2 linked regions of the Cricetulus griseus genome follow. The protein of the gene in region 1 purifies or fractionates together with the protein of each later gene. This does not show direct contact. Links are inferred from orthologs where the notes say so. Each region holds a gene or a part of one and is shown on either strand. Other genes may lie near its edges.

Region 1 (7,622 bases):
GATTCTGGAGTCTGGCATTACATTCAGCCTACATTTAATCAGACTTCATGATATGACTTAAGATCTATTTTTGGCATTTCTTCACATCAGCATTTTTTTCACAAGTATGTCATATATAAGAATATGTATGTGTATCTGATTAGAGAATGCTACCTCTGTGGTTTCATCTCCCATGTGTGTGTCCTTTGATCAGACTGGAGATAATCCAAATCCCCATGGCCCATTTCACTCCTGGTTTTCCAGTGCACAACACCAGTATTACAGATCATAGTCAGGTGGTCAATGTCAAAACTTCTGAGTCAAATTCAAAATCCTGAAAGCAATTATTAGTACCAGATATTAAATTATGCAAACTGCAAATGTGCAAAGTTATTTTCCACAGGAATGGACCAGCAGCAATGATACATGAAGCACGACACTGGGGATGCTAAGATTTGGATTTTTCTTTTTTGTTTCTTTTTGAGACAGGGTGTCATTCTATAGCCCATTATATTTTAACACAATGACTTCTTTTTCTCATAGAAAATAAAAGCTTTAGCATTCCCAAGACACAGAATATTAAGAACCAAATGAGGCCATAGGCCAACCAGGAATGATGGCTCATATGTTTAGTGTTAGTACTTAGGAAGGTGAGGCAGGAGGATTGTTATGAGTTTGAGACCAGTTGGATAACAGAGTAGTAACTTGTTTTTTCTTTTCAGACAAAAAAAAAGGAAAAGAAAGGAGGAATGAAAATAAAGACCAGATCATTTGAGAGGAAATAAACTGGCTTTTTTTTTTTTTTGCTTTTAAACTATAAAAGCATATTTTAACACGAGGAAGAAATAAAGAAGATTTTAAAAAAAGTTCTGGCATTAATAAAGCAGTCATAAAGTCTGGTAAATTATAACACAAAAGCAACAAGTGCTTCAGAATTCAGAGAAGGATGGCTGTCTGTCAGAGGAAATGCATGCATGGAATCCAGCCACTGCAAACAGGAAAAACAGAGCAAATAAGATCCTAACAAGGTTCAATGTCTGCCCACTATCTATCTTTCCATCAGAGTGGTAAATAAAATGGATGGGACACAATACACATATGGAAAATATCAAATATACTTTCTAATTATCTATACAAAAAATAGTTCCAACAGTTGTTCTTAAAGAATATGTCATAGGGAGACTGGAGAGGTGGCTCAGTCAGGAATGTGGCTGCCACATAGCATAAACACCTAAATTCAGTTCCCTAGCACTACCTGAAAGCCAGGAGTGATGGCATGTATCTGTAACTCCAGCACAGAAATCGAGAGATAGGCAGATCCCTGAGGCTCATTGACCAGCTGTATTGATGAACTCTAGGTTTAGTGAGAGACCTTGTTGCAAAAAACTAAGGGAGAACAATTTAAGAGAGCCACTGGCCTGTACTACATGCACACACATAGATGTGGACCAGCGACACACACAAACTCCCACACAACCCACACACACACACACACACACACAAGAATACATCATAGGAAAAATATTTGCAACTCATTACATTAATTATGCTAAAATCCATCCTATAAAAAGAGCTTTAGTAAGTCAATAAGAAGATCAGGGTCTAAAGTGAAGAAACAGACAAGATTTGTTAGAGTTAAATGGGCACTGCAGAGAAAAGATAATCACAGTGGCCTTGAGCACAAGGAAAACATTCAGTCTCAGACAAACACAAATTTAAAACCATACCAAAGTACCCTTTCCACCTAGTAGACTTACAAGATTAAAATGTTTTTCAAAAATCTTGGCAAACGTCTAGCCTTGCAAGCAGTCACACTCACTGATGATGGGCAAATAAGCTGGTAGAACCCCAATGACAATACAGTTAACAGCCATTGAAATGACAGACAAGGGCACATGCCCTCTGACCCAACAGTGTTTTACTTGTGGGAATCATCCTTTAAAATGTTTTTTTATACACGCCAAATGCTACACATACAAGACTCAGCTATCACACTAAAAATTCAAGCGCTGGGAACTCTGCCTGAGCCTCCTTAAAAGGTTCAATACTCTGAGACCTCTTACCAAGTAATTCTATGCATTGAAAAAAACTAGGAAGTGACCAACAGGCACCCACGCTTACATGAGGAATCCTTACTATTCTAGCCCACAGTGTGCACAGAACACAGTGCTTCTGCTGAAACAGACAGAGAGCTAACAGCCCCAGTGGCCTCTGGGAGGAAGCTGATAAACTGGGGAATGGGCGTGGGAATGAGATTTTCAAAGGGAAGAGATTTTCAAAGTGTTTAGTTTTGTACCTTCAAACTTAAAGAATTTGGTGTCTTTAGATAGATAAGATTTAAAACATGCTGCTTGTTGGTAAATACGTGAGACAAAGCCAGCCCTCAGACTTGGTTTCCTGCCCCAGCCTAGCTCAACATGATATAACCTATTTATTTAAGGGCTCAGGTAACCTTACAACAGGATAGAGAGTTGGGATAAACTCCAGAAATAGCAATAGCTGAGAGACCCAAAGTTAATTAACATCCGCAGACAGAAACAAGACACAGCTCGTTTTCAGAGTAAACCTAGGCAAGCTGAGATCTAAAGAAAATCCTTCATGCTGCCCAAGTTAATCTAGGAAAATGACAGGCTATGTCTGTCTCTCTTGTGCATTTATTTCTCAACTTTGGGGTTAAGAAATCTATGTCCTGTAAATAGGTATCTGTTAGTGAAACTGCTTGTTCTGCACTGCGAGGGTCGTGTTTGTTACGAAGACAATTGGCAAATAAGGTTTTTCTCTGCCCTCAGAGCACTAGTACCACATGACAGGGCACAAAATCCTTCGGGGATGGAGCCAGATATTGCCTGGTGCTTACCTAGGCAGAACACTTTCTGGTGAGACAAACCTGTTGATTGGGGGCTATTCAAAACACATTCCTGCCTATTCCCTCTGGAGTTCGCCTGAAATTACTACTGCCTGCCCTCCACCCACCCACACACACACACACACACACACCACGCTGTGCAACTGGGGAGGGGCGGGGCGATGTGCCTAATCCACCTGTTTGTTTACCTCCTGCTTTCTCATCTGGGAGCAAAACCTGTAAACCCTACCCTCCAGGGGAAGGAAAAACAAACCATTCACTGCCCATCTCCGGTGGCTGATGAAGGGCAGCAGTTTTGATACTGTACCTAAACTGATCCAGATACGCCTCTGTGGGTGCAAACATCAATTCATGCCCAAGCGCCCATGTACCACCATGCTTGTAAGTACAGGTCAAGACCTGCGAGTTGGCAATACCAGGGCCGAAGTTTTCAAGAGCTCTGGGACATCCCTCGACACAGGAACACGTGGGTCATCAGACCATCACCTCCCCTTGGAGGGTGGACATCTGCAGCAAAGGTGACAGCCACTCACAGGGAAGTGCGTCTGGAGGAAAGTTGAAGCTCTTGCTTGACTACCTGTTTTCAGACAGGTGACCAAGCAAGTGGGACGGGGCTGTCACTTCCACCGCAGCGCCCAGCTCACCCTGGCCAGGCACATCCGGCCCCGGGCGCCCCAAGGTCACCTGCCCTCCGGGGCGCCCCCACCCAGCCCCAGAGCTCACCAGAACAGCAGGTTGGCACCCAGGAAGGCGAGCAGGCTGCGCAGCGGCCTCTTCCAGCTCAGGAGCTCGTCCGCGCGACATCCCAGCCACAGCACCGGCTCCCCGAGCAGCCAGGTCAGGGCGGCGGCCACCTTGTCCGCGGCCTCCTCCTCCTCCTTCACCTGCGGCCCCGCGCCCTCCGGCCCTGCCTCGGGTCCAGCCTCCTCCCCGGGAACCCCGGGCCTCGGCGCCGGTTCCTCCGCAGCCGGGGCTGGGCATCTTTGCGCGGCGTGCTCCCCGGGCGCCGGGCTCGCCATCTTCAGCGGTGCTTGGCTGGCTGGCGGGGACGGGGACGGGGACGGGGACGGGGACGGGGATGGGGACGGGGAGGGGCGCGGGCGGGCGGGCGCGCGCGCCTGGCGGTGAGCGCCCGGAAAGCAGCGGCGACCGCTCAGGGTTCGGGGTTCGCACCGTGGGGCGCCGGCAGCTGGGTGCCTTGTGACGTCAGGCCCGGCCGCGCGGGGGAAGAGGGTGCGGTCAAGTTCGCGCAGGGGCGGGGCCGCCCTGGGCCTGGCTCCGCTCGCTCGCTCGCTCGGTGGATGCGAGCTGGGCGGCGTCCGTGGGTAGCTGGGGACCAGAGGAAAATCCTTCCTTTTCCCTTCCAGCTGAGTAGGCCAGGTAGAGAGGACTCCTCTCAAAGGAAGTCTGGGGTTTGGATTTTAAAGGGGCGAGGAGGGGACAGTCTCACTTTGTCCAGCCACAGCCACCAGTCTTCCATCCTTCAGTATTGAAGAAAATGTCCGGATGCTCCCGGGCCGTTAATTTCAGCACTCAGGACTCATCACGCCCCTGTCCAGGTCCCTTACAGGGACGCCCTGCCCAACTGTGTCAGATACAAACGCTGACCTGGGAAAGGAAGAAAAGCACATTTGGGGTCAAGGAAGGGCCTCTGGTTTGGCCCACTGATTTTAGGAGTGAGGACCAGACAGGCCGCAGTGCAAACAGGTAAAGACTCTTGGTTAAGTGAGCTGTTTTTTGGCTCTGTAGTGAGAGTTGCTTTTTGCAGTGTTGGGGAGCAGAGAAGCCAGAGGATGGCCGCCTGTGACCCTACTCTGCTACTGTCCCAAGCTTCGGAGATTGCTGCTTGATTGGCTGTGTTCTCCATATCACAAGGGGACCTCAGGGCAGAGGTGGAGAATATTGCCCCCCCAATGTGGTTCTCCTGGTTGAATGTGGGAGAGAGGAAGGAATGGCTGTGAATGTCCAGTCTCCGTTTGTTCCTCCAGAATAGAGTACCCATCCTTCAGTCCTGAGAATTGATGCATCAGGGCCATCGTCTGTATCCAGCCTACTTTCACCGATGAAGTGGTTCATTCCCAAAGCACTGGAAAACCGTTGCCTCAAAGGAGCCCCTGGGTTAAAGTTTGTAATGTCCATCTAGATGGCCAATATAAACCTCTGTGTCTATGTATGCAAACATCTATGCATTATAGACTAGATGTGGACAGTTACCTGAATGTGTGTTGTAGTTGAAGGGAGCACATGCCTAGGGTTCACAGACAGGTTTGTTGACCACCTACTATGTGCTTGGTGCATTACTAGGCCCTGTGGGTGTGGCTTCCACCTGCAGAAGGCTCACAATCCAAAAGGCACCACTTATAATTGATAAATGCAGTGATGGAAACCCTCAGTGACATGAGTCCTCGTTTAAATTGCATCCAAAGTCAAGTTTCGGAAGGGTTTGGGATGTGATGGCATCTGCCCTCACTTGTAAAACCCAGAGAGATGGGGGATGGGTGGCAGAGGGAGCTGTGCTTCCTGTTGGGAGGTTAGCGTGGAAGAAGGCCTGGATGAGTTGCAGATAGAAATCAGGCATTGTATTCTCTGAGGACCTTCAGTTATTCCTCAAGTGACAATGTTTTTTTGTTTTTGTTTTTTAGCTGAAGGCAGTTTGCAACCCTTTGTCATTTCAACTTGCTTTTTTTAGGGGTACTCAGGTGACACCTCCATAGAAAGAGGCCCTGGAAGTAATGAAAAAGCAGTGTGGAAATGATTCAATCACAACACTCCCACACCACACACACACACATACACACACACACACACACACACACACACACACACACACACACACACACACACGAGACTTGGTCCAGTGTGAGATTTCCTTGCCCTTGGTTGAGGAACTTTGGGGAGATAAAGATGCTTTGGGGTATAATTTGGTTTCTGTTTAACACTCAATGGAGATTTGCACTGAGAATCCAGGGCATTGGGATTCCAGAACCAGTAAGAACCGGTATCCCTGCCATCCAAACCCAGTGTCAATAAGCTTTCAGAGACAAGTTTACAAGATTCTTCACATTCCTCCTCCCTCTAAATTCTAATTATTGTCGTCAGGATTTGTGGATGCAGTAAAAGCTGCTGGCAATGAAGTCACCAAAAGCTCTGGCTGCTGTGTGCACTTTGCAGTCTTCATTCTCTCCCTTTATGATAAATCTTCCCAGCAGCTCTGCCTTCTGATTGGCGTTCTCACCCCTCTCAAATAACTATGGAGAAAAAGCTGCTCAGATGGTGTTGTGGTAAAGACTGGACTGACTTCGATCATTCTATCTTCTTTGCCTCTGACCTCTAATAAATCCTGAAAACTTGTAGGATAGGAGTCAACACTACGGTAGATACATACAACAGTACTACTGGGTAGTTTTTCTTTACCTAATTATCTTTGTGATGCCTGAGTAATGTATTCACTCCAAGCATAGGAAACTATTGCTGAATAGAGGCAATAAGTCTTGTTCCCTACCTGTAATAGCTTTGATGTTTAAAAGCACTGTGGTGCAGGGGTGGTGGAGCAAGGCTTTAATCCAAGCACTGGTGAGGCAGAGGCAGTAACAGGAGCAGGCTGATATCTGTGAGTTCAAGGCCAACCTGGTCTACATATCAAGCTCTGGTCCAGCTGAAGCTACACAGGGAGACCCCCCGACTCAAAATCTCAAAATAAATAATTAAAAATAAGTCCAGTGCCTTCAGTACTATTTAAGATTCCTTTTTGAATTTGTCCTTGGTGTTTATTGGAAACAGGGTCATGAATGAGATATATATATATATATATATATATATATATATATATATAATATATATATAATGAAGAGGGCAAGGAAGCTCGAAAGGTAATCCCCAAAAAATCAGAGGGAGAAAAAATTGTAACTACTGGGTGGAAAAAGAACCACTCTTGAAAAGGCTGGCACAAAGCACACAGGAGAAGGTAGAAAATTCTAACACAAAAGAAAAAGAATAAATAATTAACTCCTGGGTACAGAGTCTCATTGGGCAGAAATCAAGCTGAGCTTCAGAAGAGCTAGAAACACACCAGCCAGACTGTTTTTTCCCACTTTCCCTTTGGATTCCTGCCGTGAGTCCAGGGTTCTCAAGGAAAAGGAGTCACTATGCATGTTATATGTGCCATCACTCCTGCAGACAGAACTTTTGTGAGTTAACATTTTTCAAGCATTTCTAGCCCTATCTTCTTACCATGCCTTCTCTTCCTTATTCCTATCTTTCTGGACATTTTAGTCACTGAACCAAGACCCCCCAATAGCTCACTCTAAGCACAGATCAATAAGGACATCACATAACAGTAACAACAGAAAAGGAGATCTGACCCCACCTTACATCCTCCCCTGGTCTATTTCCTAGTTGGTATCACAAAAGTAATTAATTCTCTTTCCGTGTCAGCTGAATGTCTGTGGTGCTTGTAAAACAAGTCTATCCCAGCCAGATGTGTCCGTCTGAGCAGCATTCCCTAAAATAGGTGCTTACCGCAAACAAACGTACATTGCATGCTGGTCCCTCACATACCTGCTGGGATGCTCAGTTTGGATAGCGCTTCTGATGGCAAAGAGGGATCATATTTTCTTTTCTGTCCTAGAAGAGGTCATATCTGCAGATCATATGAGCATAGCAACACAAAGGCTTGCCCGAGTACCTTGATGTCTTTCTTGGGATCACTGAGTGTGTGTACAGTGACTGTGCCAATTAGGAAAGGCACCCCTAACTCTGAGCAGATTCAGCCCCAGAT
Region 2 (7,463 bases), on another chromosome or scaffold:
AATTATCTTCTCATGCCAAACTCTTGTGGAGGTGTTAGTTTTTATTTGAATCTTCTAATTTCCCCAGGTGAGCAAAGTAGGGAACAATTAACAATAGTTAACTGATTAAATATTAATCATTTCCTGGGGATTGTATTATAACATGACTTCTTTAATTCATATATAGTTGGCTATGCCCTATCAATTAGCACAAAGTCAGAAAGCCAGAGAATCAAGACTATTTAACTTCATTACCCTACTAGATTTTTCTTTAACCTAAGACTGTTAAAGATGAAGGACACACAGAATGTTTGTATGAAGAGAATATTACACAAATAAAATATACTTCTTGAAAAAATTGGAAAAAAAAGTTTCAACCTCATAAACATAAAAGCCAGAACAGTACAAGGAGCTTTTAGAATGGCTGCATGAGAAAATACATCTTTTTAACACTGCGTTTTGTCTGATTGAAGAAAGGGATTTTAAACTATTTTTATCTGTTTGAATGTTAAATTTATAAACATACCTCTCTACATTTTAAAGAGCCTTCTTAGACTAAATAGTAAAATTGTAGGAATAGATAAGTTTTGTATTTTTTAAGTGATTTTTGTTTTATTTGTGTGGGTGCTCTGCCTGCATATATGTATATGCACCATGAGCATGCAGTGCACAGCAGAGGCCAGAAGAGTGCACCATATCCTCTGGAAATGGAGCTACCACTCCTGAGTTGTTTACTTTGCTGGAATTCAAACCTTGATCCTCTTGTAGAGCAGCCCCTGCTCTTAACCATTGAACCATCTCTCCAGCTCCCAATACATTTTGTATTTTTACGTAAACTACTAGCATTTAGAAAACCCTCATCAATTATTAGCTAATATTGCATTTTTTATTTTTCATGCTATTAAATACATTGTCACTGGGCTGAAGAATTAACTGCCCTTCAATTAACTGAGATATACATATCTATAAAAGAACTGAAAGTCACTCAGAAAATAACAATATTACTATTTTAATCCCCGGGTTCATCTTACCTGATTGTAAAGTTTTCTTCTGAAAGATTTAATTGTATTTGAATCAAAGGTAAAATGATGAACGGGGCATTAAACTAGTTTCAAGTTGAAAATAAAGCCTGAAAATTATTAATATAAACATAATGATGTGATGCATTACCTCACTGATCTTTATATGTAGGGGCGATTCAAAGATTCCTGGAGAAAAACAAGAAAGTTGGCTATGCATTTCATTTTGTTTTGGTATTTAAGTTTTAAGTTTAGCTTATTTTATTTTCTGGGCTTTTTGTCTGTTTGGTTTTTGTTGTTGTTGTTTTTCGAGACAGGGTTTCTCTGTGGCTTTGGAGGCTGTCCTGGTACTAGCTCTTGTAGATAAAAGGCGTGCTCCACCAACTGCCTGGCTATTTTCTGGTCTTTTAAAGGCCAAGCCACTGAGAGTAATTTGAAAGGCAGAAGAAGAAGAAGAAGAAGAAGAAGAAGAAGAAGAAGAAGAAGAAGAAGAAGAAGAAGAAGAAGAAGAAGAAGAAGAAGAAGAAAGCCGGCAACAAGGGCTGCTTGGCTGCTTGGCTTTAGAAGTCATTCTATTTGCACAGCACAAAGCATCCTCGAACCCCTACCTTTACCATTTCTAATGCTCCCCAAATACAGGTCTGGAGAGTCACTGTCAGTAGGATCAGTATTCTGACCCAGCATCCAAAGATTCCCAGTAGGAAACCCGATATGCCAGAGGGACCTGGGCCATCCGACCCCGGCTGTGCGGCTTAGGGTCTTCCACTAGGGTGACAGCCAGAGCTTTTGGTTCCCATGAGGCCTTTTCATCAGGACAACTCTCCAGCAGATGGTACCAATTCCCCAGGAAAGTAATGTTGGTCGTCACCTAAACTGCTTGATCTCTGTATGTTTAAGAACCCAGGACCACACTTCTGGGTGAACAGGACAAAGTGAATGGAATCATCTCCCTTTCAAACGTGCATGAAGCCCGGTGTTCATGGCTGGCATCTCCTCTTCTAACCTTGATGACCTCATGCTTTTTCACCCTTACACCTCTGCAAAATCCCTGAGTCACGCACTGTTTATGTTGTCTCAGTACCAGCTCCAGCACAGATCCAAAGGAAAGGACGCCAGAGTAGGGAGGAGGAGCTGGGGTGGAGAAGCCAGGCCAGCCACGGGTGCCAGGCAAAGGTCAAAATGCAAGCACAGGACATTTCAGCGTGGGCTACAGATCTCGTGATGCCTGGCACTTTTCCACCACCAGACGCCTGATCCCATTGCTCTGGAAACAGCTGGATTTTCTTCCTGTGTGTTTGTTTTGGGCACCAAGCAAGAAACATGAAGGGGAGTGAAGAAGACATTTGTTAGAGCATTCTTGGGGTTAAAAGACATCTTTAATATCAAATCACAACAATAAAAGACAAGACACAGAGTTTTTATTTTCTAGAGTGATTTAGGAAAGCTTAAGCGTAATGGGCACACACACACAAATAATCGATGTTTCTGTCCACCCCCATCCAGCAGATCCTGCGCGCCGGGGGCGGGGTGGGGCGGGGCCTCGTGATGTCACAACACCGCCCTGGTGTTTTTGTGTTCCCAGCTCTTGGGAAAAGCCACCCGATTTCTTTACCTGGTGGTCCTTTACCTTCGGGCGGGGAGATCCCCAGGTCCCTCTCTTGGACGTCTGGCCACGTAGTGCGGTGACGGGCGTGTGGGGGCTGACGCGGGCGGAGCGATTGTGATAAGGTTGACATTGACCCGGGGGCGGCCAGAAGCGAGACGCAGTCACCAGCGCGCGCAGCAGGCCCCGTCCGGGGAGCCCCCCAACCTGCGGTCCATCATGAAGTTCCAGTATAAAGAGGACCATCCCTTCGAATATCGGAAAAAGGAAGGTGAAAAGATTAGGAAGAAATACCCGGACCGGGTGCCGGTGAGTGGGGGCGGGGAGGGGGAGAGCGAGCAGGGAAATTCGGGAGCCGGTTGCCCCGGAGCGCTGGAGGGTGGCCCTGGAGCAGGGGGGTCCCCGGAATCCCATAATCCTGGCCGGCTCTGACAAACCCATATTGCCAGGACCAGTGCCCACCTCTGGCATCCGGGGTGACTCAGCGGATTCAGCTCCCGCGGAGGTGGGGAATGTGCGCGTGGCGCGGCCTGTGTGTGCGGGAGCCGCTGCTTGGGGGCCCCAGATGGGACGCGCTTGTAGACCACGCAGCGCATCCCCGGAGTGGCAGGTGCGGTGGTGGTGAGCCTTGGGCCCATCCATGTCTGCCTAAAGAATCCGGGTTCCGTCCTCATTTCCTTGAGCGCATTGGGGGAAAAACTTGAGAAGTCAGTAGATTCTGCGCTGCGTTTTCTTAGAATTTAAGAGGCGGCGGCGGAGAACCCCCACCAGGCGGGCCCGCAAACAAGGTCACTCTGCGCCACAGTCAGCTTGCTTCATCATCATCACTGCCTCCCTGGCCATGTGGTGCTAAAGAGGACCTTGCCCTGCACTGCTGATGTGTTGGGCCTTGGACCCCAAGGGCGAGGACTGAGAACCTTTTCCTCCGCGAATTGTACCCCGATTTAAACGGCTAAAACCTATTTGATGCAGTGAGGAGAAAAATAATAAGGGAGTCTTCTTCAGCATCCGGGTGTTTTTCCCTTTGCCCCCCCTCCCCCCGCCCACTTGCCTGATTTTTTTTTTTTTTTCTTCTCTTTTAAAGGCTGCGCAGCAGAATTGGAAGCCGAGGACGACATTACTGTTAGATATGGTAGCTAGAGGAGAAGGGACTTTTAAAGTCGTTCTCTTTATCTGTACAGGCAATGATGTTAGATTAGCATTACTCATAGCTTTAATGGGTAAACGAGCCGGACTTACCTAATAATTTTTCTTGATGCATAAGTACTGTTCGTGGTGGTGGTGGTGGTGAGGGGGGGTTTCCTCGGTCCTCTCAGCTATGGCTAGCAGAAGAAATGTAGGCTCAACTGGGAAAAGTCCTCATCCCCATTTCCTGTTAGGAAGGGGAGAGTTAACTATTCCACTGTATGCACCAGGGTCTTTAGGGAAAGGCTGGAAACACGCTAGTCATTTCTTCTTAGCACGCAGTCCTGCACATATTACTTCCATGGAGGATTGTCTTGGATTTGTCACCCCCCCTTCATATTTTAAAATGACACATGGCCCACAGAGCTGGCAGCACTCTGAATGCCTTGTCTGCCTATTCACTGACTCGACTCACACCATTAAAATCTAGGTGCTACAGACATAAGCCTGCAGTACTGGGGAGTGAAGTCCCCACCCAAAGGTGGGGTCTGACAGTGCTAGCTGCCAGAGAGGGATTTCAGCCTGGCTGCCATGCTTTGGGCTTCCAGAGCCCTTGACCTTTAGGTTGTCCCCTTTCCCAGTTTGTGTAGTCCAGTTCGATTAACCAGAATTAAGTGTTACACCTTACATAGGTGAGTCCTGGAAGTAGGTTAAGTCTTGCTGCCATCTGGAGTTCAGCTGGTAGACCAGTGCCAGCCAGGAAACTTAAGTGAATGTCTACCCGTTACTCAGAACTTTAACAGAAACACAAGCTGCGGTGTCCGTCTTCAGATTCAGTTAAAACCTCTATAGTTTCTCAAATGAGCCTCTCTCATTCGCTTGGTTACAGCACTCACCCAGGATATTTTAGTTTCTCCTTATTCTTCTCCTGCTTATGACTTGATGTTGAATGTTTTATTTCAGTGATAATTTATAAGCTAAGAAAGATCACTGGGATCTCATGGATCCTCAACTTGAGAGATTCTCCACTTATGGCTCTTACCCTGTTTGTGACAGAAGAGCTCTGCTAAATGGCAGAGATTTGGGTTGGGGGCAGCATTGGGCATGGAGCCCTTTGCCCAGTGGTCCCTCTATCACTGGGTATACCCTTATCCTCAGCGATGTGGTTTTGTTTCAGCCTTGTAACCTGAGTTCCTGTACCTTGGGCACAGAACTGAATCTTACTATGTCCAGGTGTTTACAGGAAAGCCACTAAGTGTCTAAGGCAGTCTGACTCACAACTTAAGCTTAGCCTCAGAAGAGGTATGTGTGGGCCTTGGGAGAGGGGATCATGGGATCTTGAAATAACAGTGTGTTGGAAACCTGTAATAGCAGGAACTGCTGGACACACTATTTTTAAACATTTGTAAACAGCCCTATGGCGTATGAGCCACCTGCCACAGATGGAGAAAACAGTTTTCTCTATTCTTGGAGGAAGCTGCCAGGTCTCAGAGTCCCTGTGGTAAATACCAGGGCTCCCCCTGTTTCCTGTGCTCTGCCGTGTATAGCCTGCCTTTTCTCCTTACTTTTTTTTTTTTTTTGTCCATTACTAATCTCCTTTTCGAACTCTTTTCTACTTAATTTGAATGTTTGGATTCACCTCTGTCTACCCAGGCATTTACATGTATTTATTCATATGGTCTTTTGGGGGTGCTGCTTGTTCAGAAGCCCAGAGAGGTCACAGACATCCTGAAGGTCACACAGCTTCTAGGGAGACTTGTCCAGTGTCTGTTTCTGCTTCTTCACTTTTTGGTAGTTCCCATTTCTCATATCTAAGATGCGCTCTTCAAAACAAAGAATCTAATGTTAATATTCTTGCAATGTATTTTCTATTTTCTAAGTAAATATATAAACATCTACCTAAGAGTCCAGGCGGTGGTGGCACACGCTTTTAATCCCAGCACCTGGGAGGCAAAGACAATCAACTCTCAGTGAGTTCAAGACCAGCCTGGTCTACAGAGTGAGTTCCAGGACAGCCAGGACTGTTACACAGAGAAACCCTGTCTCAAAAAACAAACAAAAAATCCCAAGATTTTATGTGTATTTTTCATTACAAAAATGAAAATTCTTTAAAAATGTTACTAAAAATATTTAATGTAGATACTGAAAGTCCCTTAAAATCCTAACATAGTTAATAATGTTGAATAATTCAGTGCCCTCATAAAGTGCCATAGTTTTCACTTAGTGGTGAACACTTTTTTTTACAAAGATTGAAATCTGAGCCACATTGCCCGTGTTTATTAGCTGTCACTGTGGCAGTGTCTGAGACAGTCAACTTGAAGGCTGTGCACATGTGAGTGGCCGTGTGTGTGATTGTGTGCAGATATGCATGCATGTGGAGGAGACCAGACGTTGATGTCTGGTGTAATTCTTGGTTACTGTCCACATCACTCACTGTGAACCCAGAGCCTGCCAGTCCAGCCAGACAGTTTGGCCCAGGGATCTCCAGTCTCTGCCTTCCCAGCACTGGGATAAGTGGTGGGCCTACAGGTCCAACCTGGCATTTGCACAGATTTTAGGGATCTGAATTTAGTCATCACACTTTCACATATGGTGGTTTTACCACCGCGCCATCTCTCCAGTCCAAAAATGGTATTTTAGAGGAAAAAATAAAACTAATAGGTCATTAAGTTATCTTAGGAGCACAGAACAGCATTTTGATTCTTTAATAAAATACCATAAGGTAAGTGTCTCTTACTGTTCTTTATAAGGTAATTTGTAGTTGCATGAGATCAAGGAGCACTGGAAGCAAGGACTGGAAAATCACATTGAGCCTAGATGGTGTGGAAGGAAAAAGGCAGTTTTCATCCCCTCTCCTTTCTCCTTCTAGGTCATCGTGGAGAAGGCTCCTAAAGCCAGGGTCCCTGATCTGGACAAGAGAAAGTACCTTGTCCCTTCTGACCTCACTGGTAATGGTCTTTCCTTCTGGCCCTTCATTCCAGGCAAAGCAGTTTTGATCTGTATTTCACGTCTTAAGTTGGTGACCAAATGGGTTGTAACTACGCATGACTTCTTCAGGGAGCTGGCCAATGTGGCTAGGCACAGTCTGTCCTTCCATTTCCAATTCTGTGTGGTATTTCCCAGTACCTTACCCATGTGCCTTACTCATGGAGACACAGCAAAGCAGCACGCTGGAGTAAAGAAACAGTTGTCTGTAATTTACACCACGTTAAAACTCAGCCACGGTGATCCTGAGGTCGACTTGTTCCAAAGCCAGCACAGTGTTTTCGGAGGATCACGTTTCAGAGATTCATATCTAAATGCTTTATCTCTCAGTCGCGTTTCTGTTTGGGAGATTAAAAACTACAGACCCTAGCATATCTTCTATTTTCAGTTATATGTATTTAGACTTTACCATGTTCTTAGTGAACTGCCAGGTGCTTTCTAGATACTCTTGACGGTTTCTTTTAGATATGTTTGCTCCGGAGTTTATGCATTTGTCTGTCAGCCTTCTAGAAGCTTTTCATTGTTTGCAGGGAGAGGCTAAACGCTGGTTATGCTCATTGCCCTGACACTTGCCCCATCATGCTGGGTTGTCCAGAATCCAGTGGATCTCTTCGAAGTGTTAGCTCTCAGGGTAGGAATGGAGCTGGAAAGACATCAGGGGTCCATTTTTAGACGGATGCTTCAGTCTACATCATTCTCCCCACAGTAGTTAGTCATTATGCTAATGTCGTCTCTGAGGCTGAATTAGGAGG

What was found. The genes of interacting proteins can lie anywhere in the genome.
Region 2: the proteins of Retreg1 (region 1) and Gabarapl1 purify together in Homo sapiens (affinity purification with western blotting; 3 studies listed by BioGRID and IntAct, with this or other methods). This does not show direct contact. The link is inferred for Cricetulus griseus from reciprocal best matches to the Homo sapiens genes RETREG1 and GABARAPL1.

Annotation. Positions count from the first base shown.
Region 1 is NC_048595.1:356,640,958-356,648,579, reverse strand, and holds the start of Retreg1 (reticulophagy regulator 1), read right to left. Parts: upstream 4,036-7,622; 5' UTR 3,865-4,035; coding exon 3,569-3,864; intron 1-3,568. UniProt on the Homo sapiens protein: Endoplasmic reticulum (ER)-anchored autophagy regulator which mediates ER delivery into lysosomes through sequestration into autophagosomes.
Region 2 is NC_048601.1:16,531,318-16,538,780, reverse strand, and holds the start of Gabarapl1 (gamma-aminobutyric acid receptor-associated protein-like 1), read left to right. Parts: upstream 1-2,551; 5' UTR 2,552-2,820; coding exon 2,821-2,910; intron 2,911-6,595; coding exon 6,596-6,674; intron 6,675-7,463. UniProt on the Homo sapiens protein: Ubiquitin-like modifier that increases cell-surface expression of kappa-type opioid receptor through facilitating anterograde intracellular trafficking of the receptor. Involved in formation of autophagosomal vacuoles.